Caenorhabditis elegans: one gene and its partners. The protein of the gene in region 1 interacts with the protein of each later gene in a pairwise test. Each region holds a gene or a part of one and is shown in the gene's direction. Other genes may lie near its edges.

Region 1 (3,684 bases):
GATCGAATCTATCATATTCGATCATTCCTCACTATTCTATCATACTGCACTCTTCTGCTTTCTAATAAAGCTCTTCTATTATTATTACAAAATATATAACATTTACTCTCTGGCTTCACCGTATTTTTTACTCTCGGGCTTCACCGTATATTTTACTCTCTGGCTTCACCGTATATTTCCCGAACTTTACCAATAATCTTAGAAAAAAATTGTCTATTCAGGGCCATATCAAGTCTCCCAAAATTCCAAAATTTTTTTTTTGTAATTTCGTCAAGGTATATGCCTGTAAAAAATAATTCGGATACAGAAACCCCTCTAGCGTGGCTTAAATTTAATTTCCAGGTCCCGAACTTTACCAATAATCTTAGAAAAAAATTTTCTATTCAGGGCCATATCAAGTCTCCCAAAATTCCAAAAATTTTTTTTTGTAATTTCGTCAAGGTATATGCCTGTAAAAAATAATTCGGATACAGAAATTCCTCTAGCGGAGTTCAAGCAGAAAAAGTGGATTTTCAGTCATACCTTTTAGTGCACAGTTTGAGAATGACTAAAAACGACCATGCAAAATTAGTAGATTTTCCAATTTTCAAAAATTAGAATCTGGCGTCAAACTAACTTTTTCAAAAATCCTGTAGCCATTTTGTTGCAAATTTTGTGTTCTTTCAGAATTTCGAAACCAAATTCAAAAAAGTGTGAAGCCAGGGAGTAAAATATTCTGTAAAGCCAGAGAGTAAAATATTCTGTGAAGCCAGAGAGTAAAATATACGGTGAAGCCAGAGAGTAAAATATTCTGCGAAGCCAGAGAGTAAAATATTCTGTGAAGCCAGAGAGTAAAATATACGGTGAAGCCAGAGAGTAAAATATACGGTGAAGCCAGAGAGTAAAATATTCTGCGAAGCCAGAGAGTAAAATATTCTGTGAAGCCAGAGAGTAAAATATACGGTGAAGCCAGAGATTAAAATATTCTGTGAAGCCAGAGAGTAAAATATTCTGTGAAGTTAAAGGCATGAAACTAAATACTCAAGATCGTCTTTTGTACATTACACTTCCAATTTAAGACTTACAGTTCCATTTCTTGCACTCCATGCAATCGTTTCTCCAGAGACGTAGTCAACTTCTGCAGAGTAGTGCACAATTTCAGTATAACTTTCCTCTTTTCCTTCACAATTACTAAACTCTTGTATGTCATTAGGTCTAGATGTCTTGGAGCTTACGTTCTGTATCGTCGTTCCCCTTCACTCCACTTCGTATGCGCAGCACCGTGAAAACAGATTTTCAAGAATCGGGCAGTGATTGGCTCGTTGGATCTCAAAACAACCTGCCCAGTAACAGTTTGACCTGGTGCATAACCTCTCGGGCTATCGAACACAATTCCAAAGTGATCCATATGTTCCATATCTAAACTAAAAAGATACAAGGAAATTTAGAATTTTAATTAAGGAAAATGTTGTATGATTATAAAATGAATGAAAACTGATAAAATGAAGTGGTTATCAAATAAATTGCCGTTTTATAATATAAATATGATTTCACAAAAATCAAATAACGCACGGTATAAGACTGATGACGACATTTTACCTCCTGATTACGCGTTTTGAGTCACAATATATTATAAAACGGCAATTTATTTGATAACCACTTCATTTTATCAGTTTTCATTCATTTTATAATCATACAACATTTTCCTTAATTAAAATTCTAAATTTCCTTGTATCTTTTTAGTTTAGATATGGAACATATGGATCACTTTGGAATTGTGTTCGATAGCCCGAGAGGTTATGCACCAGGTCAAACTGTTACTGGGCAGGTTGTTTTGAGATCCAACGAGCCAATCACTGCCCGATTCTTGAAAATCTGTATTCACGGTGCTGCGCATACGAAGTGGAGTGAAGGGGAACGACGATACAGAACGTAAGCTCCAAGACATCTAGACCTAATGACATACAAGAGTTTAGTAATTGTGAAGGAAAAGAGGAAAGTTATACTGAAATTGTGCACTACTCTGCAGAAGTTGACTACGTCTCTGGAGAAACGATTGCATGGAGTGCAAGAAATGGAACTGTAAGTCTTAAATTGGAAGTGTAATGTACAAAAGACGATCTTGAGTATTTAGTTTCATGCATTTAACTGATAACAAACTACAATATTGTTACAGGAAAAACTTCCATCTGGCCACCATGTCTTCCCGTTTGCATTTCCACTCCCGATAGAATGTCCACCTAGTTTTGAAGGTTTCCACGGCCACGTTCGTTATTCCGTGCGAGTTGAGCTTGACAGACCATGGAAGTTCAACAAAAACGAAAGGGAAGACTTCAAAGGTATTTCGAAAATTGTTAATGTGCGCAAAAAGTTATTTTTCAGTTATTCCCAACTTTGACTTGAATCATCTTCCGTTGGGAAATGTTCCTAGAATGATGAAGGATGTGAAGGACATTGGGCAAATATTTAAAAAAGGAATAGTAACAATAACTGTGAGTACAACGCTGCTACATTGATAGGTTATTTAATGCTTTCAGGTAACTATCCCCAAAGCAGGATATGCTCCTGGAGAATACCTGCCAATCACAATCGACATTGACAATGCTTCCAAACGTGCAGCAACGTTTGTGCGAGCTGAACTTCATCAGCACTCGCATTACAATGCTAGCAAAAACCATGGCCTCTTATGCACTCATTCGTCTTACCACGAACATCACAAGGATGAAAGCAAACGTATTGCAGAAGCTCGAAAAAGCATAAAAATTGCTCCAAAAACCGCTGGCCGTGAAATGCTGCGGATGAAAATCCCAAAGTCGCCACCAACATTTACAAGTCCCATTATCAGCATTGAGTATTGTCTTTCTGTGAGGTTGGACACTTTAACAACCCTTAATAATACATTGCACTGCGAGTTTGATATCATCATCGGCACAGTGCCAATAACTGAATCGATCGTGGAGCCAACGGTAACTACCTTTCCGTCTGATCCACCTGTCCTTGAGCGGCTGGATTCCTAACCTCCAGCCTATTCAACTGTGGTTCCAAGTGCTCCGACCGATGATACAGCGGGAACATCCGCTCTACCGCCGTCTTATGAGGAATCAATGTGTGTAACTAAAATTTAATTGGGTATTTTATTTTATTTTTTCTTGTATAATTGTGAATTAATAAAATTCTGGCCATTTACATTAGTCAATCAATTTTCTTTCTCTATTGCTAAACATTGAGTTTCAAAAATATTCATTTGGCAAAAAATAAGGTAGGGTAGATTCAAAAAACTATAAGGATGAATTGTAAATTACAAGTTTATTACAATCAACAGATAAGTTTAAAAAAAAACATTTCAGAAAATAATATGAGGAGTAGTGATATTCGAGATTGACGGTGAATTTTTATAGACAATTTTACAGGATTTTTTTGTGAGCCACTTTTTGTGCAGTAGTGAAACAAGATAACAGTGCAACGACGACAGCAACTTATTCTAAAAGATAGGAAATGTGAGTGGTTGTCCGGCCATAGACATTTGGACAATCTGCTTTAACAAAGACAGTACGTTGAGCAAGGCAGAAACGCTCAATAATTTCCGATTTCTTGGCCACAAGTTTGGCGGCAAGTCTTTGGCGAACACCTTTATTGTCTTCCTCTGCGTGTTTGTATTCAGATCTTTGCATTCGACGAGCTTTACGTCCTTGCTTTGCCAGAATG
Region 2 (4,996 bases), on another chromosome or scaffold:
TACCTTTAAATGAAGTGAAATTCCTGAGTACTCTTGCATAGTGATTTAGGACTTTTTCGTGAAACAATCGTAAGATCCCCTTCAATTTTGACCAATCCTCAATGTTTTTCCAGTACGATCGGAACAAAACCTCCAAAAAAAAGGCGTCCAAGGCGCGAACACTCTTGACACATTTCCCCGCCGCCGTATACTATTTGGTCAAGGAGCTTCGAAAAAGATGAAGAAGCTCGAACTGTTCAGTTTGTTTACCCATAAAGATATATATCCCTCTCGCCCGTTCCGATACTATTTGAGCACGTAATCGAGAAATAGTGTGGGATATTGAGAGTGTAAGGCGACGAGAGATCGGCTATTCACACTGGGGGACAGCAGGATCGTGTATTTCAGAAGTGGGTGGGAGATGAGATGAGGTAATTGAAAATGAGCCGCCGCCGCCGTAGCCGACCCCATTCAGTTTTAATTTCCCGTCTTTCTGCACTTTTTGATCTGACCGATTAAATAATTGATAATTTTTTAAATTTGAAACTAATAGTGTTAACATAAGTATATTCTTATCAACATTTTTGTTGTTCACAGCTTTTTTCTAGAGTTGCTCTGAAAAAAATTACAGCGGCCGGGCCGACACTTCGCAGGTTTCCAGTTTGGGCCAGCGAAGTGTCAGCCGCTGTCACTTTCAAAGCTTTAAAAACATTTTTGTAGTTAATAACGTTCTCTAGCTCACACCTGAAACGGCCTTTTGGGACGAGTCTGTCTGTGCCCGCAAAGTGTCGGCCGCTGTAACATTTTCCAAGGAACAGCTTTAAAAAACTGTCAACTGCAAAACTTTTAAATATATTATTATCTAAATTATTGTAGTTGACAATTCTTTTCTAGCTCCGCTATGAAAAAATTGCAGCGACCGACACCTCACTGGTTTCATTTGGGACGCTGCCTGTCTGGGCCAGCGATGTGTCGGCCGCTGTAACTCTCAAAACTGTTTAATATATAACACTATCTACATTTGTGTGGTTAAAAAATTTTCAAGCTCAGCCCTGAAAAAAGTTACAGTGGCCGACACTTCGTAGGTTTCTTTTGGGCCACTGCCCGGAAGGTGTCGGCCGCTGTAACATTTTCAAGTAAAGAGCTGGAAAAAAGTTGTTCACTGCATAACTGAATTTTTATAGTTGACAACTTTTCTATAGCTGGCTCCTGAAATGAGCGCCGCCGACACCTCACTGGTCTAGATTCCGGACCAGCCAGGTGAGCAAGTTTTTCTACAGAAAAATCAAAACTTCTTCTCACTTTCCACACTTTTGTCAATAAAACCCCAAAATTTCAAGTGTTTTTCAACAAGCACCGCACCGCTAACTTTCAAGTGTGATTTTTCACGCGTTGACCCTTTAGAGCTCCGTGTTTGCTTTTCATTTATGAAAGTAATTGATAGCGGTCATTCAAATGTACAAATATCGTGGTTATATTCATTATTTACTTCCATATTTTAAGTTATATCCCGCGCAATTAGAAAAAAAGAACAAAAAAAGGCAAACCTATAAAGTGTCGGCCGCTTTAACTTTTTCCAGGGCAAAGCTAGAAAAATATTGTCAACAACAAAAATGTAGACGGTATTAAGTTAGACGGTTTTGTAAGTGAAAAATTTTTTTATAGCTCCACTCTGAAAGGAGTCCTAGCAGCCGACACATAGCGGGTTGGCATTATAGACACCTGTGAGATGTCGGCCGCTCTAACTTTGTTCACAGCAAGTGTAATAGCGTTTTTTAAATAAAAAAATATAACTGATATTGCACTAAAAAATTTCGTAGTTGACAACTTTTTTCTAGCTTTGCCCTAAACAAAGTTAGAGCGGCTGACATCTGGCGGTTCCAAAAATAGGGCCTAGAAAACCGTGAGATGTCGGCCGCATACTTCAACTTCTAACTTCTTTATTTCTCAAATACTCTTCTTTAAAATTCATTCCAAAAACTTTTCAGGTATGATACCGTACCTACTGTTAATATGGGGTGCCCTGGGAGCTTCTGAGGGTGAGTACCAACTCTTTGAGCTGAGAAATTGTTGAAAATCAAATTTCCAGCTCTCCCAGAATGCCAAATCAATGAAATTTGCTCAAACTGCAGCCTAAAAGCAGAGCTCTCAACAAAATGTGAAATAAGCCAAGATGTCAAAGAAGCCTTTCTTTTTTGTAATCCAAGGACAAAGTGAGTTTTTTCGTAGACTACAGTACTCCAACGACGTATACAAAGTTCGAATTCAGAGTTTCCTTAAAATTTTGGGCCAAAGCTCAAAAAACTAGAATTCTCTCTAGCTCAATTTTAAAACTTTTCCGGGCTACTGCATGCAGCGCCAAAGTACTCAAACACTGAACTTGACAAGCTTTTGAGCTGGAGCTCTAAAAATTTCGGAGTTTACTAATGAACTATAGAGAATTCCAATTTTTAACAAAAAATTTGTGGAAAAATTTTTGAACTTCAGTTATGATTAATTTTGCCAAGGAGACGGGTGAAAATTATCTTCGAGTTTGTATGTCGAAAATGTTATGTTAAAATTTGAAATCTTTGCAAAAATTGGACTCGAACACAAAAAACTAGACCCCGGTAGCTCAATATTGAAAATTTCCGGGTTACTGTAGCTCCAAAAGTCCGCAAACACCGACTACCGTATTCCAATCAACCAAACTTGACAGGATTTTGAGCTAGTGTTCTGAAAAGTTAGGAGTGTACTAATTGAGCTATGAGAAATTTGAATTTCTAACTGAAAATTCGTGAAACAACTCAATTTTTCTGAAAATTTGAGTTCATTCCATATCAATATTTAACTTTCCAGAAAAATCGATATCGAACACAGTTCCTATTTGACGTGCACAAATGGTACCTGGAAGCAGGAGATTTGCTCAGAGGATGGACGGGTGCATTTCAGTCTGAGTACCCGGGATTGTGTGGATCCGGCTATGCAGGTTTTCCACTCACAGGGGACTTCTGGTAAGCTTTTTTTAGAGAGAACAAAAATGTCGGAATTTTTTTTCAAAAAGTTTTTAATTATGAATTCTAATTGTTTTATAATGATTCAGCTTACCGAGAGTGAGTAGAATACGAATTTGGTAGTTAAAACAAAAAAGTTGAAAAAACTGAAAAAAAAATCATTGGAATTTTTACATATTTTAATTTTTTTTAGGATCCGGTCGGGTTGGAGACGTATGTTCCTTTAACACAGATTGCCTTGGCGGAATGTTCTGTGCAATTGGTCAATGTAGATGTCTATCGACTTATGTCGCTGTCGATGCTTATTGTTATGAAAGTAAGTTTGCCTACGTGCCTACATCCTGCCTACCTTGTGCCTACCTTATGGCTACTTGCATATAGATAAGCATGGCCAAAGTCTGCGGGACTATATCTTGCCTATTCTGTGCCTACCCTATGCCTACATTTTGCCCACTTGTCTACATGCCTACCTTCACCGTTGCCTAGCCAAGGTTACTTCTTGAAGCTTACGTGAATACATCTAGCCTACTTTACGCCTACATCCTGCCTATTTTGTGCCGAGCTCATGCCTACCTTTCACCTACCCATGGCTACTTTGAGTCTAGTTTGTGTATATTTTAAGCATATCCCATGCCTAGCTTGTGCCTACATCGGACCTATCGAAAGCCTGCCTAGCTTCTGGGCTACCGTATGCCTGCGTTAAGCCTGCATCATGCCTGCTTCTCACATTTGCCTAATTAAACTCTGCCTATACAATTCCTGTCGAATTAAGTAGGCAAATAGGTAGATGGGTAGGCAGGTAGGAATAGGCATAGGTACTAACTTGTACCTACATTTTCAGAAATCTCGCCATCCGATTCCGGGTGCTTCTACGATACCCAATGCGCATCGGTCTGGCCAGATTCCTACTGTAAAAACGGACAATGTATGTGCCCGTCGGAGGATATGATCGCAGTTAAGACCAAGTTGGTTTCATGCTCCGTGAGCCCAGATGACTAACCTTAACCATTTCCAGAGACGGTACCCTCTGCGTGTGGTCCACAAGCTCCGAGCCATCCTGCCCGCTGCCTTCCCTCCCGCCTCCGGACTCGCCGTCGAGTTTGGTGGTTCTTCCAGCGGCTGCTGGTAAGTTTCAGGATAATTTTCAGAATTTTCAGTACATTAAATTTCAGGTAAAACCAGTGTAACAATTGCTCCGTGCAACCCGCACAGCTCGGACACTCCAAAACGAGAGGAGGACCTTTTGGGCAAACAGCACGACTTCAAGTGCTCGGTTCGGGGATTCGTGAGTTTTTTTTTTGAGTTTGGAGTGAAAATCCAAATAGAGCACGCCAGGAGCTTCAATTTAAGTATAATCATGACTAGGTTCCGAACAATTTCGGGTCCCACCACGAATTTCACCGGGGTTACTGTAGTTTTCGTGGCGAGACCCAAACCGAAGGAAAGTATGTCATGATTATACTTATTTTGAAGCTCTTGGCGAGCTGGACCGCAATAAAACAAGTAGGATTCATATTTGTGATTTTTTGAAAAAAAAATTTGCAACTGTTTTTTTTTCGAAATTTCCAAAGAAAACCCAAATTCAAAGATTTTTCGCAATTTTCTCAATTTTTAATTTTAAATGCAAAAATAATGCTCTGCTCATCGCGAGCTTCAATTTAAGTATAACCATAGCCTATCTAGCTCCAAATAAAGCAATTTCGGGTCCCACCACGAAAGTCTCGGGTTACTGTAGTTTTCCTGGCGGGACCAAAAAATTGTGAGAACCTAGTCATGTTTATACTTAAGCTGAAGCTCTTAGCATGCCGATTGTTAATTTTGTAACAAAATTTGAAAAAAAAACGGAGAATTTGCGAATTTTCAAAAAATTAAAAAATATTTCCAAAATGTTTTTTTTTAATTTTTCTAGTTTTCTCAATTTTCCACTTGAGTGACTCTTTTGTACTTTAGTTAAACAAAGCTGATTCATGAGAAGTATAAAAATGCTTACTCAAAATTGGGTCCCACCACGAAAACTACAGTAT
Region 3 (6,280 bases), 3.0 Mb from region 1:
CACCTACAACACTTTATACGACTGCCGATGTCTTGCGATTTAGATGCGTTTTTCTTTTGAATTTTGAGTTTGGTTTTCAGTTTTAAATGTTCACCCGACCCTCTGTGTATTTGTATATTTGTATGTATTTTTTCATTCCACATTGTTGCACATGTCTGGCTCATATGATTTGCGTATTCGTAATATAAGTGTAATAAATTTTTGTGATACGCTAAGGGATGATGAACGTAAAGAAAATGCTGCGGAAAAATCAAAAAGTGACACTTGTGACGTGGTCACATGCAGTCTGGGATAAAAATCAGAATATGAAATGAGTGTAAAATCTAATTTTTGTTTAAATTGGAGACTGAAAGTAGAATAAACCAAGAGAAGTGGCACATTGAATTTCGGGGGGGGGGGGGGCAGTTTTTTAAAATTACTTTCCGATAATTTGTACTCTCTCACAGTATTTTTGATTCTTACGGCTGCATAATTTCGATTGAGTTTGAAATTGCATTCAGCGTTGTAATGTGCCCAACTGCCAAAATGAGACGACTGGTTTTGGATGTATTTTTTTAATACTTACAGTGAAATTTTTAGTGATTTGATATATTTTAAATCATAAATTATTGTCTCCATAACTCCATTTTATTCACCCACAACTGGTAGTGATTAAGAATGAGCTCTTCACATTTTTTGTAATTCCACCTTAATGAGTCACCGCCTATCAATCATATAATCTTCATACTTGCTTCATTCCAAACTCTCTGCTTTGCTCTTGTCTTGCTCACTTCTCAGCAGAATCTCATGTTTCACCTGAACTTCTTCTTTCTTCGCTTCTCACTGATTCGTGGAAAAAATTGTCGCGTGTGCTTCCGTTGCCCATACCGCTTCTGACTTGCTCTTATCTTTTCTTTGCTTTTCTTTTTCGTTTTTCGCCTGACACATCAGCCACCAAGCTTTTATTAAAACACGAAGGATATGATTTGTTCATCAGCACTTGTCAGCAGCTCGCTCAAATTTCGACGTTTCGGATGCATGCTTTCCTGAAGTTTGCAACCTCGAAAAGCTCGCATGATATGGGTTTGTCAAGAAACCAAAAGTTTCGAGTTTTTGAGTCGATTCCTAGAATGTCATCAATCTCATCTTCGAACATTATAGTATAGTTTCCGAGCAACAAATGACCGCGGTGGACCTCCTCAAAGTGATTTTAAATTGAACAACTGTGCAATAAATAACGAGGATGAAAAATGTGTGCGAAATGTTGTGTTGTGTTGTGAAACGAAGAAAAGTGCCGAGGATAAAATATCACTCAAAGTGGAGTTGATGGATATGTGACGACATAGGGAGGAGAACTTATTTTGTTTAGATATGGGGTTTTAATACACCAAAAGACATATGAATAGGAACAACAAATTCCAATTTCAAACAGATTACCTATGAGAAAAGCAATTTTGTTTTTTTTTTCACTTGAAAGTTTGTATACTTTTTAAAATTAATTGTTTTTTTTTAATCTTTGCTACTTCCTGAAGGCAACATGACTTTCTGACCCGCACAGGTTTGCTCAATTCTGAATAATTTCTGTTTTGGTCTAGTATTTTACTCTTCAAGACTCGATCATAATCAATGCATACTCGCAGGCTTTGAGTTCGATTTGAAAACGTTCTCAGCATCCATTACTGCTTCCTGTTTCTCTCTAACTTTTCTGCTCACCGCACAACTCTTTTTGATCTTTAGCCTCACTTTTGGTTTGAGTAGAAGCGTAGAGCATTTTTCCTTAAAAAAAATAGAAAGAAAAGTTGATACCTCTCTTCTTTCCTATACTACAGTAGTATTTTCAACCCCCTTCCTCATTCTTTTTATCACTCCCTGATGTTTCAGCTTCTTCTTCTTCTTTTTCCTCTTCATCTTCTTCTTTTTCTTACCTCTCTTCTTGTTTCTCGACTCCGCCCAGTATCATCGTCAGTCACTTGTTGTGCACTCTCGTGTCCGCGGTCCCGTCCATTATCAGCCGCAACATGCAGGCTACTGTAGGCTTATTCGCCTTAGCGGTCTTGTTCTGCCTAGCCGACGCAGGTGAGTATATATGTTTATAGATGGAAACTGGTTTGAGGTTCAGCTTTCATTATGAGAGGGCGAGAAGTAAGGTGTAATAGGTAAAAAAATAAAGCATGAACCTCAAGCTTGTCATACACAAAAGGTATTACTAACAGTGAAGTTGATACGCAAGTGTAAGAAAAACAAGTTTCAGGTAGAATCTCGGTATCCAGAGGAAAAAATGTCACAAAAATTGATGATTTGTGCGCCAGAATGCACAACAACACTGCTCTTGGTAAGTTCATTGAATTACATCAGGTCATTTCCCCTGAAAAATTAATATTTTATCTCATCACTATAATTCATTAAACTTCTCTAGGTTTTAAAAACTGTATTGTTCTGAAAATCTTATTTTCCTTTTGAATATTATTGGTTTCTAATTAACATATGCGTTTCACTAAAAAATTGATACAAGTCATCTAAAAACTAGTATTTCTAAAATCATTGATGAAAAATAAATTATTGTTTTAGTTTCATTTATTGACAATTCACGCATTAGGTGTTTGCAGCAAAACAAACATAAATCAATTATCCGTCATTAACTTCGTGTGTGTCCACGTACCACTTTGATTATTTCAGAAGGATCATCTCCATTGCTGATGATGCAGGCAACCGCCTACGAGTGTCAGAAGAAATGCGTGGACATCTTCCCAGAGTGCTCCGCAGGTAAAATTTTCATTTTTGCACCGGATCCTATCCGGCCCAAGAAGATTGATGTGATGTGTCAAGCAATATCTATAACAAATGACACTCATCCGCAAATATCTCTTTTTCTGCTTCTTTAACTGATTGCTTTTGCAAATTTACACTGCCCCTCCTTGATTCGCAAAACTCCGTCTTCGAAATTTGATCTCTGCGTTTGGGGTCATGAAGACTAAAAAAACATTAACTTCACAAAAAAGTTCAACTTGTTTTCAGTGGTTTACTACTACTTGCATAACGAAACAAAGAAGCATTTCTGCTACCTCTTCTCCGACAACTCGGTTCAAGATAAAATTGACCTTGTCGAGCAAAAGCCAGAAAACAAGAAAGATATTGTTAGAATGCTCGAACTGGTCGTCGACTGCCACCAATTTGATGCTCATCCACCACTGGAGGAGGACGGTTTGGCTTCGTCTACCGATAAGGTTGACAGAAAGAAGAGACGTAAGATTTCGATCGTTACTTCGGTTTATATAAAGTTGTGATTTTAGAACAAGGCGATGAAGCTGTTGAAGGAGTCGGAGATTGGACAGATTGGTCCCATTGCTCCAGTAACGGACACGAGGTGCGCTCTCAGGCATGCGAATACGGAAGAAAAATCCAACGTCGTGGATGTCCAGCTAGATCTGCTCCACAAAGAGTCCCAGCTCCACCAGCGCAGCAGTATGCGCCACGTGCCCCAGAGTACCCAAGTGCACAGCAACAGCAGCAGCAAAGGGAACAGCAACAAAGAGAACAACAACACAGAGAACATCAGGCTCGTCTTCAGCAGCACCAGCAACAACAACAACAACAGCAACAGCAGCAGCAGCAACGTCCACCACAGCCACAGCCACAACCACAGCCACAGCCACCACAGCGACCACCACAACAGCCACAGTCCTTCTCTGGAACTCACGAGCTTCATCTTCAAAGGCAGAGAGAACAACAGCAGCAACAACAACAACAGCAGCAACAACAGCAGCAACGTCAACAAAATCCACAGCAACAGCCACAACAGACAACACAGTTCGGACAATCTCAAATCCAACTCCAAAGTGGGCCAGTCCCTCCACAACAACATCCGCAACAGCAGCAGCCACAGCAGCAACCAGAACTTGAGCGTTCTCCACTCGATCAACATGCTCAACTCTATCAGCAGAGAATGTCTCAATACCGCGAGAACTTCAATCAGAGACATCCAGCTCGTCCAAAGGCTGATCCATGCCCAGGAGGTTTCTGCGCCCCAGTTCCACAGGCCCCACAACAAGAACGCCCAACACCACCGCCAGTTCTTGCTCCAGTGATCAACACTGCCACTCAGCCACCACTTCCACAGCCCTACCCAACCAGATATCGTCCAGCTCCCCCACCACCGCCAGCATGCGATGGACAAGGATGTGTCAACCCACCAGTTGTTTCTGGAGTTTGGCATGATTGGTCTGACTGGTCTACCTGCTCATGCACCTGTGGAGATGGAGCTAAATCAAGAAGACGTGAATGCTCCACCAATAACTGCCAAGGAGCTGATTATGAGACTGAGCCATGTAATCTTGGCCCATGTCAGACATGGTCTGAATGGTGCGAGTGGTCAACTTGCTCTGCTAGCTGTGGATCAGGTCAACGCGAGAGAACTCGATTCTGTCATCTTGGTACAAACAGATGTGAAGGAAAGGACTACGAATCTGAGCAATGCAGTGCTGGACCATGCCCAGAATGGTCTCAATGGGAAGATTGGGGACAATGCTCTGTGACTTGCGGACAAGGAGTCGCAGTTCGTCAGCGTACATGTCTCGGAGGTGTTTTCGGTGATCATCTCTGTCAAGGACCAAAGACTGAACAACGTGCCTGTGATGGTGGACCATGCTCTCTTTGGTCTCCATGGCAAGAGTGGTCTACATGCTCGGCTTCATGCGGAAGCGGAATGAAGCGGAGACAACGTGTCTGCCAATTTGGAACTGATTGCCAAGGACCAAACGAAGAGAGCCAATTCTGCTACGGACCTCCATGTGCCGAGTGGACAGAGTGGTGCGAGTGGTCAGGATGCTCTTCAAAGTGCGGACCCGGACAACGGACTAGAACTCGTGGGTGCCTTGGACCAAACGGGCAAGAAGCCACTACTTGCCAAGGACCAAGTATTGAAACTACCCTTTGCGAAGGGCAATCTTGCTGCAACTGGTCTGAGTGGTGTCACTGGTCCATGTGCGACAAGGAATGCGGGGGTGGTCAGGTGAGATATATTGAATATATGTTCAGAACGGGGTAATAATGAATTACAGTCAATTCGCACTCGTACATGTTTGAACAGCGCTGGAAGTCCGGATTCATCATGCCACTGCGATGGACCAGATCGTGAAGAAAAGGAATGTAACAGTCAGTCATGTGCTCCTCAATGCGCTTGGAATACTTGGTAGTTAAAACTGTTACATTGGTATTAATTAGTTTTTTCAAATGTCCAGGTGCGAATGGAGTCCATGCTCAACACAACTTGCATGCGAAGTTGGAGTACAATCTAGGTCTGAAATAGTTTTTGATGAAGACATGTTAAGAATCTGAATTATATCTTACAGAAGCCGTCAATGTGTTGGAGAATCCGGATGTCACTGCATCGGTCTTGCCGAAGAATCCCAGCAATGCCGTGGATTGACTCAGTGCCCACCAAAGCCACCATGCTAATTTTTTGTGTTAAAAAAAATCAGTCAGACAGGGTTACATCGCCCATTTCTTTCATATTTATGTTTTTCAATTTGTACTTATATTCAATACTTTCATACAACACCGCCTCAAATAGTCGAATCTCTATATCTAGTCAATTAATTGTATTTTTCACGTCTTCCATTATGCAAATGCCTTTCAACGATAGGTTAAATTAAAGTTTGTTTTATCTTTGAAATTTATGTTTTAATAGCATTCACTGCCATAATTTGCATTTTCAATGTGGTTTAAATTTTTATTCTTAAATTCTACAATAAAGTTGTTTCACAGCCCATTGAATATAACATCAAAACATACAAGCCAGTTAACATTCAAACAAGCTTTCAATCAAAGTGTTGTACAGTTTCAGAAAACCACTCCTTAACACGAATTTTCATTAAAGTATATTGGTATTTATTAACCAAGTTTGCTGATTTATAGGTAAAACTAAAAATAGAATCAGATGCAGGTATACAATTATCAGTTGTTTAGACTGTCAGCAGAAGATAACATGGGATCAATGCTATTTTTAATTGTTATGTAGTATATGCACCCCTCCATTATCTAAATTATCTCCCCCTTCTAGGAGATTCATACAACTCATTGATTAAACATGATAGAACATATGTACTCGTTGTACTACAAGGGTGCAATACCCAATATTTCTTGTTGCCATCGTCAAAATCCTTCAAGAACAAAATCCTTTTCCTCGACATCTTCATTTGTGGCACATCTTACTTTCCATGTAGATCTTGAAGGATGTGTCAGAGTTTCCGATTCCTATAATAGTTTCTTTACTAAATGTTCCATATTTTCTTGCCCTATCTGA
Region 4 (7,384 bases), 9.0 Mb from region 1:
GGCTAACGTATAGGCATCGAATTTGTTTGCGTGAGCAGCAATATGAGGTATTGAGAAACTGTCAACACTGGCGGGTGAGATTGACAGTTCGCAAGCAGGCCAACTCACTCCTTCCAATCGGGCGTCTGTCCGTAGTTTTGGGCTGTCTTCCATCTTTCTGCCTTCAGACAATCGCTAGACGGTGCATAAAAAGTGTTCCCGATTGCTTGACCTATTTATGTATATCCTTTTAAAGAGCCGTCAGTATTCCCCACTTCACATCGTAATTGTTAATTAGTACACACTTATCCTATGTTTTGTATTCTCAATTGTTTTTGTTTCAAAAATGATTTATTTTTAATTTCAGGTAGTAGGATCTGGACATGAAGGTTCTTCTCTTCGTTGGTCTCCTCGCAGCCACCGCGCTTGCTTCCCATCACTCATCCGATCCATCGAAAGATGGTGAACATTTCAAGGTAATTTGCAGTTTTACGCATAATCTTTTACAAATATCTGTTCTGTTATTTTTAGGGAAAGGAACATGACAAGAAGTACGATCACGAGCAGTTCCTCGGAAAAGACACCGCTGCTGAATTTGATGAATTAACACCAGAAAAGTCAAAGGAGAAGCTTGCGTATGTTCTTTTAAAGTCTCATGACCTTCAAATCAACGTCTATTATTTTCAGCAAGCTCGTTCCAAAGATGGATGCTGACAGCGATGGCTTCATCGAGGAGAACGAGCTCAAGGATCACATCAACTTCATGCAAAAGAGATACGTCAACAACGACGTGGACCGTACCTGGAAGAACTACAAGGCCGAGAAGATTGTCGACGGAAAGATCAAGTGGGAAGACTACAGAGAGATGGTCTACGGATCTGCTGACGGAGCTGGCCAGGAGCTTTCTCCAGAATACGCTAAAATGATCGCACGTGACGAGAAGAGATGGGCTGTTGCCGACTACGACTCAAACGGAGCCCTCGACAGAACCGAATACGGTTGCTTCATGCATCCAGAAGACTGTGATCACATGAGAGACGTTGTCGTCGCCGAGACTGTCGATGATATTGATAAGAACAAGGACGGATCTGTGGATCTTGATGAGTACATTGGAGATATGTATAGACCAGATGATTACCCAGAGTTGAATGGAAAAGAACCAGACTGGGTTCAATCTGAGCGCGAAATGTTCAAGGAGCACAGAGACAAGGACGGAGATGGAAAACTCAATCAGGTATAATAATGTCTATAATATGATGTCTAATTAATAATGATTATATTTCAGGAGGAGATGCGCGATTGGATTATGCCAGTTGGATTCGACCACGCCGAGGCTGAGGCTCGTCACTTGGTTGGAATCGCCGATGACAACAAAGACGGAAAACTGAATCTCGATGAAATCGTCGCCCACTACGACACATTCGTCGGATCCCAGGCCACCGACTACGGAGAGCAACTCCAGAAACACGACCCAGCCGAGCTCTAAAATTTTTGTTTTTCTCCAAACAGTATTACGCGAAAATTCTCATTTGAGATCTGTTAGTAATAATAATGTGTGACTGGTCTTCGAAACTCATTCTTACTTAACAAAAAATGTTCACTGTTCTTATTTATCTCATTATTGTTTGCCTTTTTCAATGTCATAAGTATATAATTTTCAAGCGCATGCATTTTTGAATTTTTCGGATTTTTCGAATTTTACTGGTTTTAATAATTATCAACAAATAAAAGTTTATGCATTCAAAAATCCAATTCCTTACAGAACAACGGAAGGTTAATGAAATAATTTAGTGTGTCAAATGTGTACGACTTCGCCATGTCTTCGCACAGCGGACGTGGCGACGATCATGACGGTGTTGACCCCTTGATGATTTTCCTTTCATAGTCGCATCTCTGTCTCTCTTTCCGCAGGGAAATCTTCAAATCGGTTCTGTCCTAATTTTTCTTCGCCATAGTAATGCATAGCCCATTCATCCAAGTGTTATTCTTGTTTCTGATTATTGATCGATTAGCTTTAGCGTTCGATGTTCCGTGTGCACGTGAGTCAATTTGAATGTTTTATATCGTAGTTGTATGAAACATTGAGCTAATACATGTATACTGGTTCTTGGAATTGAAAATTTTTCTTATTATATATTTGAATAATGCCTATAATTTGTGAAAATTTCAGAAAAATTCTAACTTTATTACAATTAAATAACGAAATAATAAAGTTTTGAAATCCTAAAATCGCTTATTTTCAGAATTTCTATTTAATATTTCCAAATTGTATCATGGCTTATTTTTGTTTGAAGGCAGTGTATGTAGTTTTTGAAAAGTACTCTTGAACTGTAAAAACAACTTGCAAATTTTTAAGGTCATTTGACATAACAATGGTTACATGTTGTTCTATTGATTTAGTGAATTCGTTGAAAAATTCAAAATTGGCTTCAAATAAATTGAAATTCAAGCCAATCAGCTAGTTTACCAGACTAAAAGAAAACTCTAAATTGCACTGAAATGATGGAAATGAAAAATCTTCAGGAAGTGTCTGAAAATGTCTTTTTTTTTTGTTTAGTTTAGAGCTGTTTTTTTTTAACCTAGAAATTAATAATTTAACAATGCAATTAGGCTCGAAAACATGAATCAAAAGCTTTCGAATATTCAAAAAAAAACATCAGTCGTTAAAAAGCCGCTCCTTCAGTTGTACAATGCCCAAATGTCATAGTAAAACTTTCCAAAAATGTTTTGATTTTTTCAAAATTACATTTAAATTATTTTCCTACGAGTTTTATATTCTTACCCAGGATATTCAATCTGTAGCAATTCTTAAATTTACTCAAAAAGTTCACATTTTTGGAAACTTTGATCAAAAATTTTGAACAATTCAAAATCTTTTAGAAGTTTTTTATCATGATATTTGGCCATGCTAGATTATACTACGTAACCTTTAATATGATTGAACTATCATAATTTATAGATAGGAAAGCAGTTTTCTCAGTCCCCCACACTTCAACAAAAATATGTTTATTTTTTTCAGAAAAGCTTATTGGAAGTGACTGCCTATTTGATGAAGAATGCTATGGAATGAACTCAGTGTGCAGAAACTCCCGATGTACCTGCCCCACAAACTTTGAAGAATACGACATCGATGAACGAACGACAATTTGCCGATTAGGTGACATCATAATTTTCCTCGTTTTTTTTTGTCTCTTTGGTTTTAGACTTCTTACAGTTCTCAAATGATTCACCGAACCGAACCGGTCTTTTGCCTCTTGTTGTATAAATTAGCTTTTGCTTTCAGCACCCGCCAAAATCGGAGATTCCTGTCAACGCGATTGCAAGCCTCCCTTATTGTGCAGAGATGGTAAATGCGAGTGCTGGGGTGGTAGTATTGTTGACGGAAAATGCGTTGTTCGTAAGTGAAGCTGATGTCTAAAGATTTGTGAAGGATGAGTGGATTTTCAGTGTGTCCAGTTGGTCAGCAGCTTTATGGCGTCGAATGCACTCGTGTTGCCCATTATCAGCAACCGTGTGAGAAAGACAGCCAGTGAGTGAGAAAAATAGTTATAAAACAATATACCTAGATATTGAAATTGTGAAGGTCAACTAGAATTGGTCTAAAACATGAAAAACTGGCAAATTACTTGAATTGAAGCAGGGGGTGTTCTACAAAAAGAAAAGCAAGAGTGGGATTATGTTAATATTTTTCTTCAAAATTTAGTGATCGAGTAAGTCTAAATATTTAATTCAGTTGAAAATTATTTTTTATTTTAGTTGAAATAGTTCGAAAGACGCTTAGAAATTGTTAGAAAAATGTAAACTGACTGAAAAAAATCCCACAAATTATTGCACTGAAAATCCCAACTTTCAGACAATTTTTGAGCATTTTTCCTGTTGCTTGAATTGATATGAAAACTATGTTTTATAGTCTTCTACTAAATTTTGATGAAAAACATTGGGAGAACTTGCGGCTCTGACTGATTTTGTAGGATTACTGGTCGGCATTTGAAAATTGAAAAAAAAAACTATTTTGAAAAGTTTCAGAGTGTATTTAGGTATAAATATCAATGACGCTACTTCATCTATTCATTTACAGATGCGTCGACCCATTTAACGCCTGCATTGCTGGAACATGTTTGTGTGCTCCTGGAACAACGAGAGATACTGAACGGGGATTCTGTCACGCTAGTTGGTCAATTCTACCCTACACAAAGCCAATTCCCAATTCATTTCAGCATGTCCCGATGGGATGCATCCTCGTCAAACATGCCGTCGGCTGTTCATCAACGACATTGATATGCTTGAGAACGCCGCCAACACCGATAGCTGCCCATTAGGCTATCGATGCGTCACGTATGGCAGCCCATATGTGGGTCATTGTTGTCGGCTACGGTGTCCATATGGAGAGCCGGATTTGAGTCAGTCGTGTGACGCGGGAGCATCTCCAGACTCAAAATGCAGACCACTCACTCACTTCTGCTTCACTGTCAGTGAGCCAGGGTATGTTGAGAGGGGTGGAAAATGTTTCTAGAGTTTGTATTCAGATGGAAATCGTCGCTGTGTTGTCCCAGACCATGTCGTGATCCGACACCCCTCTATGTGAACGGACAGTGCCTTTCAATTGCTCATAGAGGTGATCCTTGTCAAATTGATCAGCAGGTTGGTGAACATGCTCAAAGGAGGAATAACGGTTTTTAAATGGCTTTAAAAACCAAGCTACACAACCAAACTTCTGAAAAGGATGCAAAAAATGTTTGAGGAGTCTGAAACACTGTATTTTACAACCATAGTTAGTCTATTGAAGCTTAAAAATTGTTGAGAAATTGTATGAGAAGCCGAATTTCAGCAAAAGCATTTTATATTTATATACATTTTATATTTTTTATATATTTTTTAAAAATATGTATACTACAAATATCATATTTTCATCTAAATTTTGAATTTTCAGTGCGAGGGAGGAATCACAATGTCCTGCACGCTAGGCTCTTGTCAATGCAAACTTGGATATCACGAGGTTCGCAGCAAATTGTTTTTTCTCAAATTCCCAAAAATCACAAATTATTCCAGAATAACGACGAGAGATTCTTAACGTGCACCAAAGACTGTACCCTCGAAGAAGTCGCTAGTAACGATAGATGCCTGGCAAAAGTGAGAAAATTGCCAGATTTTTTTGTGTAATTTTTTGATTTTCAGGTACAACTCGGTGCCCGCTGCTATTCGAACAAGCAGTGCATTCAATCAGCAGAATGTCGCTTTGGAACCTGTCAATGTAGATGCGGGTACAAACAAGTCAAAGTGAGTCAGATCGTGGTTCCCGGGGCCTTTTGTTTTATTGTTTCATTTGTGAATTGTTGGAGAAGGGAGGGAGGTCCGCAGCTTCTTATCGTAATGTTACAATGCCAAGGAGCTCCACAAATTTGCATCATCACTCATCCTTTCCTCTTCCCTTCTCTTCCACTTCTACTTCTCCAATAGAGGCAAAACAATCAAAAATCAGCACCACCACTAGAACGTTCTGTCATACAATTTCAAAATTCTCAATCATCAATCATTCCAAGCGTTTCGATGCATTTCAATAGAAAGAGCCGCTGGATATGATTGATTCTTACCAACAATAAAAGAAGGAGGAGGAGGGGGGAAAGGTTTCGCAGCGAAAAAAAAAGATTTATGAATATCTGATGATATTGAGGCAGGAAACAAAGAGACGGATGTTGGACTTTTCAAAGGTTCAATTGAAAATTAAATGAATTCCAATTCCAAGCTTTCTGGAACATTGAACTTTGAAAACTTTGTTTTAGTTCAAAAAAAAATTCTCATACGATTCGGATTGTAAAATTTTACAGGTCATACTGTAATTTTGAACACAGAAAAAGTAGTAGATGTGGGGAAATTACTGACACTGCCACTGCCATAAATAAAGTTTTCGCAAAGGAACTTATGTTTATTTTCTTCATTTTCTATAGATTAGGAATTTTTTGAGACATATATTTAAAAAAAAAAACTTTGTGAACAATTGTAAACCAAAGCTAACTTTTTTAAAAACAATCTAGAAACAAAAAAATCTGCGCGAAAATTCAGTCTTAAACTACAATTTTTGAGCTGGTTTTCCAAATTTTTAAGAGATTTTTTCAAATTTTCAATACATATTATTCACATTCAAAATGTACTTTAATTTTTAGTAATTTCCACACATGCGCGTCTGGGATTTCTTGTCTGATTTTTTATTTTTCAATCATGGACCCCCTAGGAATCAAGAACAAAAATAAAATACTAGGAGCCAAAGAAAATTTAATGACAAAACATATGGAAAGCCAAGACACGGGCAGAACCAATTATTGATTTTTTGTATTTGTGATTCACTTTAATTAGATACCTTATTTATTTTATAAAAATGCTATATTCATGTGGCAATGTTTCGACTTGTAGAAAATGAATAATAGGCTGCGTCCATATCCTGTTTTTTTCCGTTAAAAATATTTTTTCAAACATTGTATGATATATTTTTAATAACATACTTGAGTAAAACAAAATGAGACACTAATCATAAAAGCGGATCAAGAATTCCATGAATTTTTTTAATTTTTGTTGTACATTTTGTGTTCAATTCTTATTTTAAACTCAAAAAACAACATATTTTTCTAAGATTTGTTGTTTTAGTTTAAAAAAACTCACCTTCTAAATTACAGGATCAACTACTAGGAGTCCGTTGCACAAATCCAGATGATCCGCTCAGTATTGGCTCAATTTTGGACCGCGTCGGAGACATCTTCGGAAACAAACAAGGCAAATAATCTGTGTTCCGTAACAGCTACTCACTTCATCTCTCCTCCGGGTTGAATTTTCTTTATTTGTATTTTTTACATTAGATAAACTTGATCAATTTGTCTTATTAAAAGCTTTATTATGAATGTGGCTCAAATAATGAGCATGATTCAGAGAAAAAATGGTTTAAAATGTCAATTTTGTAATGAGAAAATGGGGGTCATCGGCAGTAATAGGGTACAACAACAAAAGTGATTGCATTAAACCTCAACTTCAAACCAAAGATACACAGAGAACCTAGTTATACATGCCTAGATTACTACCGGAATAGTATTGAACAAATACAAGAGAAGTTACCAATGAAGATTTGGGTGAGAATGGGAAGCATAATGCAGTCGGCTAGAGAAGTTGGAACTATTACTAGCAATGTACACGGAGAGGGTGAAGAAAAAAAAAAGAGAAAATAAAAAAAATGTAAAAGGATGGTCTGGATGGGTTGCGGGATAATACGAACTTCTTTTGAGCGTTGTGGGTGGAAGGGGCAAAAAATTTAGAAGCACTTGCGGTGGACAATCGATGGGCCGGACTCGTCGTACTCTTGCTTGGAGATCCACATCTGTTGGAAGGTGGAGAGGGAGGCGAGGATGGATCCTCCGATCCA

The links.
Region 2: the proteins of arrd-24 (region 1) and Y55F3BR.2 interact in a two-hybrid assay, tested with the Caenorhabditis elegans proteins (one large-scale study listed by BioGRID).
Region 3: the proteins of arrd-24 (region 1) and T21B6.3 interact in a two-hybrid assay, tested with the Caenorhabditis elegans proteins (one large-scale study listed by BioGRID).
Region 4: the proteins of arrd-24 (region 1) and M03F4.6 interact in a two-hybrid assay, tested with the Caenorhabditis elegans proteins (one large-scale study listed by BioGRID).

Annotation. Positions count from the first base shown.
Region 1 is NC_003284.9:13,978,552-13,982,235, reverse strand, and holds arrd-24 (Arrestin C-terminal-like domain-containing protein), read left to right. Parts: upstream 1-1,718; 5' UTR 1,719-1,729; coding exon 1,730-1,911; intron 1,912-1,955; coding exon 1,956-2,061; intron 2,062-2,155; coding exon 2,156-2,318; intron 2,319-2,361; coding exon 2,362-2,471; intron 2,472-2,516; coding exon 2,517-2,996; 3' UTR 2,997-3,167; downstream 3,168-3,684. Other genes in the region: F48F7.6 (Zf-C4pol domain-containing protein), read right to left, coding at 3,456-3,684.
Region 2 is NC_003282.8:856,963-861,958, forward strand, and holds the start of Y55F3BR.2 (BPTI/Kunitz inhibitor domain-containing protein), read left to right. Parts: upstream 1-1,967; 5' UTR 1,968-1,969; coding exon 1,970-2,018; intron 2,019-2,068; coding exon 2,069-2,192; intron 2,193-2,817; coding exon 2,818-2,972; intron 2,973-3,165; coding exon 3,166-3,288; intron 3,289-3,813; coding exon 3,814-3,937; intron 3,938-3,987; coding exon 3,988-4,097; intron 4,098-4,144; coding exon 4,145-4,257; intron 4,258-4,996.
Region 3 is NC_003284.9:10,944,620-10,950,899, reverse strand, and holds T21B6.3 (Apple domain-containing protein), read left to right. Parts: upstream 1-1,947; 5' UTR 1,948-1,997; coding exon 1,998-2,055; intron 2,056-2,230; coding exon 2,231-2,311; intron 2,312-2,575; exon of another isoform or gene 2,576-2,639; intron 2,640-2,655; coding exon 2,656-2,742; intron 2,743-2,994; coding exon 2,995-3,222; intron 3,223-3,269; coding exon 3,270-4,987; intron 4,988-5,036; coding exon 5,037-5,167; intron 5,168-5,216; coding exon 5,217-5,273; intron 5,274-5,327; coding exon 5,328-5,433; 3' UTR 5,434-5,740; downstream 5,741-6,280. Other genes in the region: K09C8.7 (uncharacterized protein), read left to right, coding at 1-43.
Region 4 is NC_003284.9:4,963,874-4,971,257, reverse strand, and holds M03F4.6 (EB domain-containing protein), read left to right. Parts: upstream 1-1,929; 5' UTR 1,930-1,936; coding exon 1,937-2,018; intron 2,019-2,998; coding exon 2,999-3,136; intron 3,137-3,262; coding exon 3,263-3,376; intron 3,377-3,426; coding exon 3,427-3,508; intron 3,509-4,057; coding exon 4,058-4,149; intron 4,150-4,196; coding exon 4,197-4,461; intron 4,462-4,505; coding exon 4,506-4,620; intron 4,621-4,909; coding exon 4,910-4,975; intron 4,976-5,028; coding exon 5,029-5,109; intron 5,110-5,154; coding exon 5,155-5,256; intron 5,257-6,647; coding exon 6,648-6,752; 3' UTR 6,753-6,845; downstream 6,846-7,384. Other genes in the region: calu-1 (Reticulocalbin-3), read left to right, coding at 363-455, 511-614, 667-1,213, 1,265-1,465; act-4 (Actin-4), read right to left, coding at 7,274-7,384.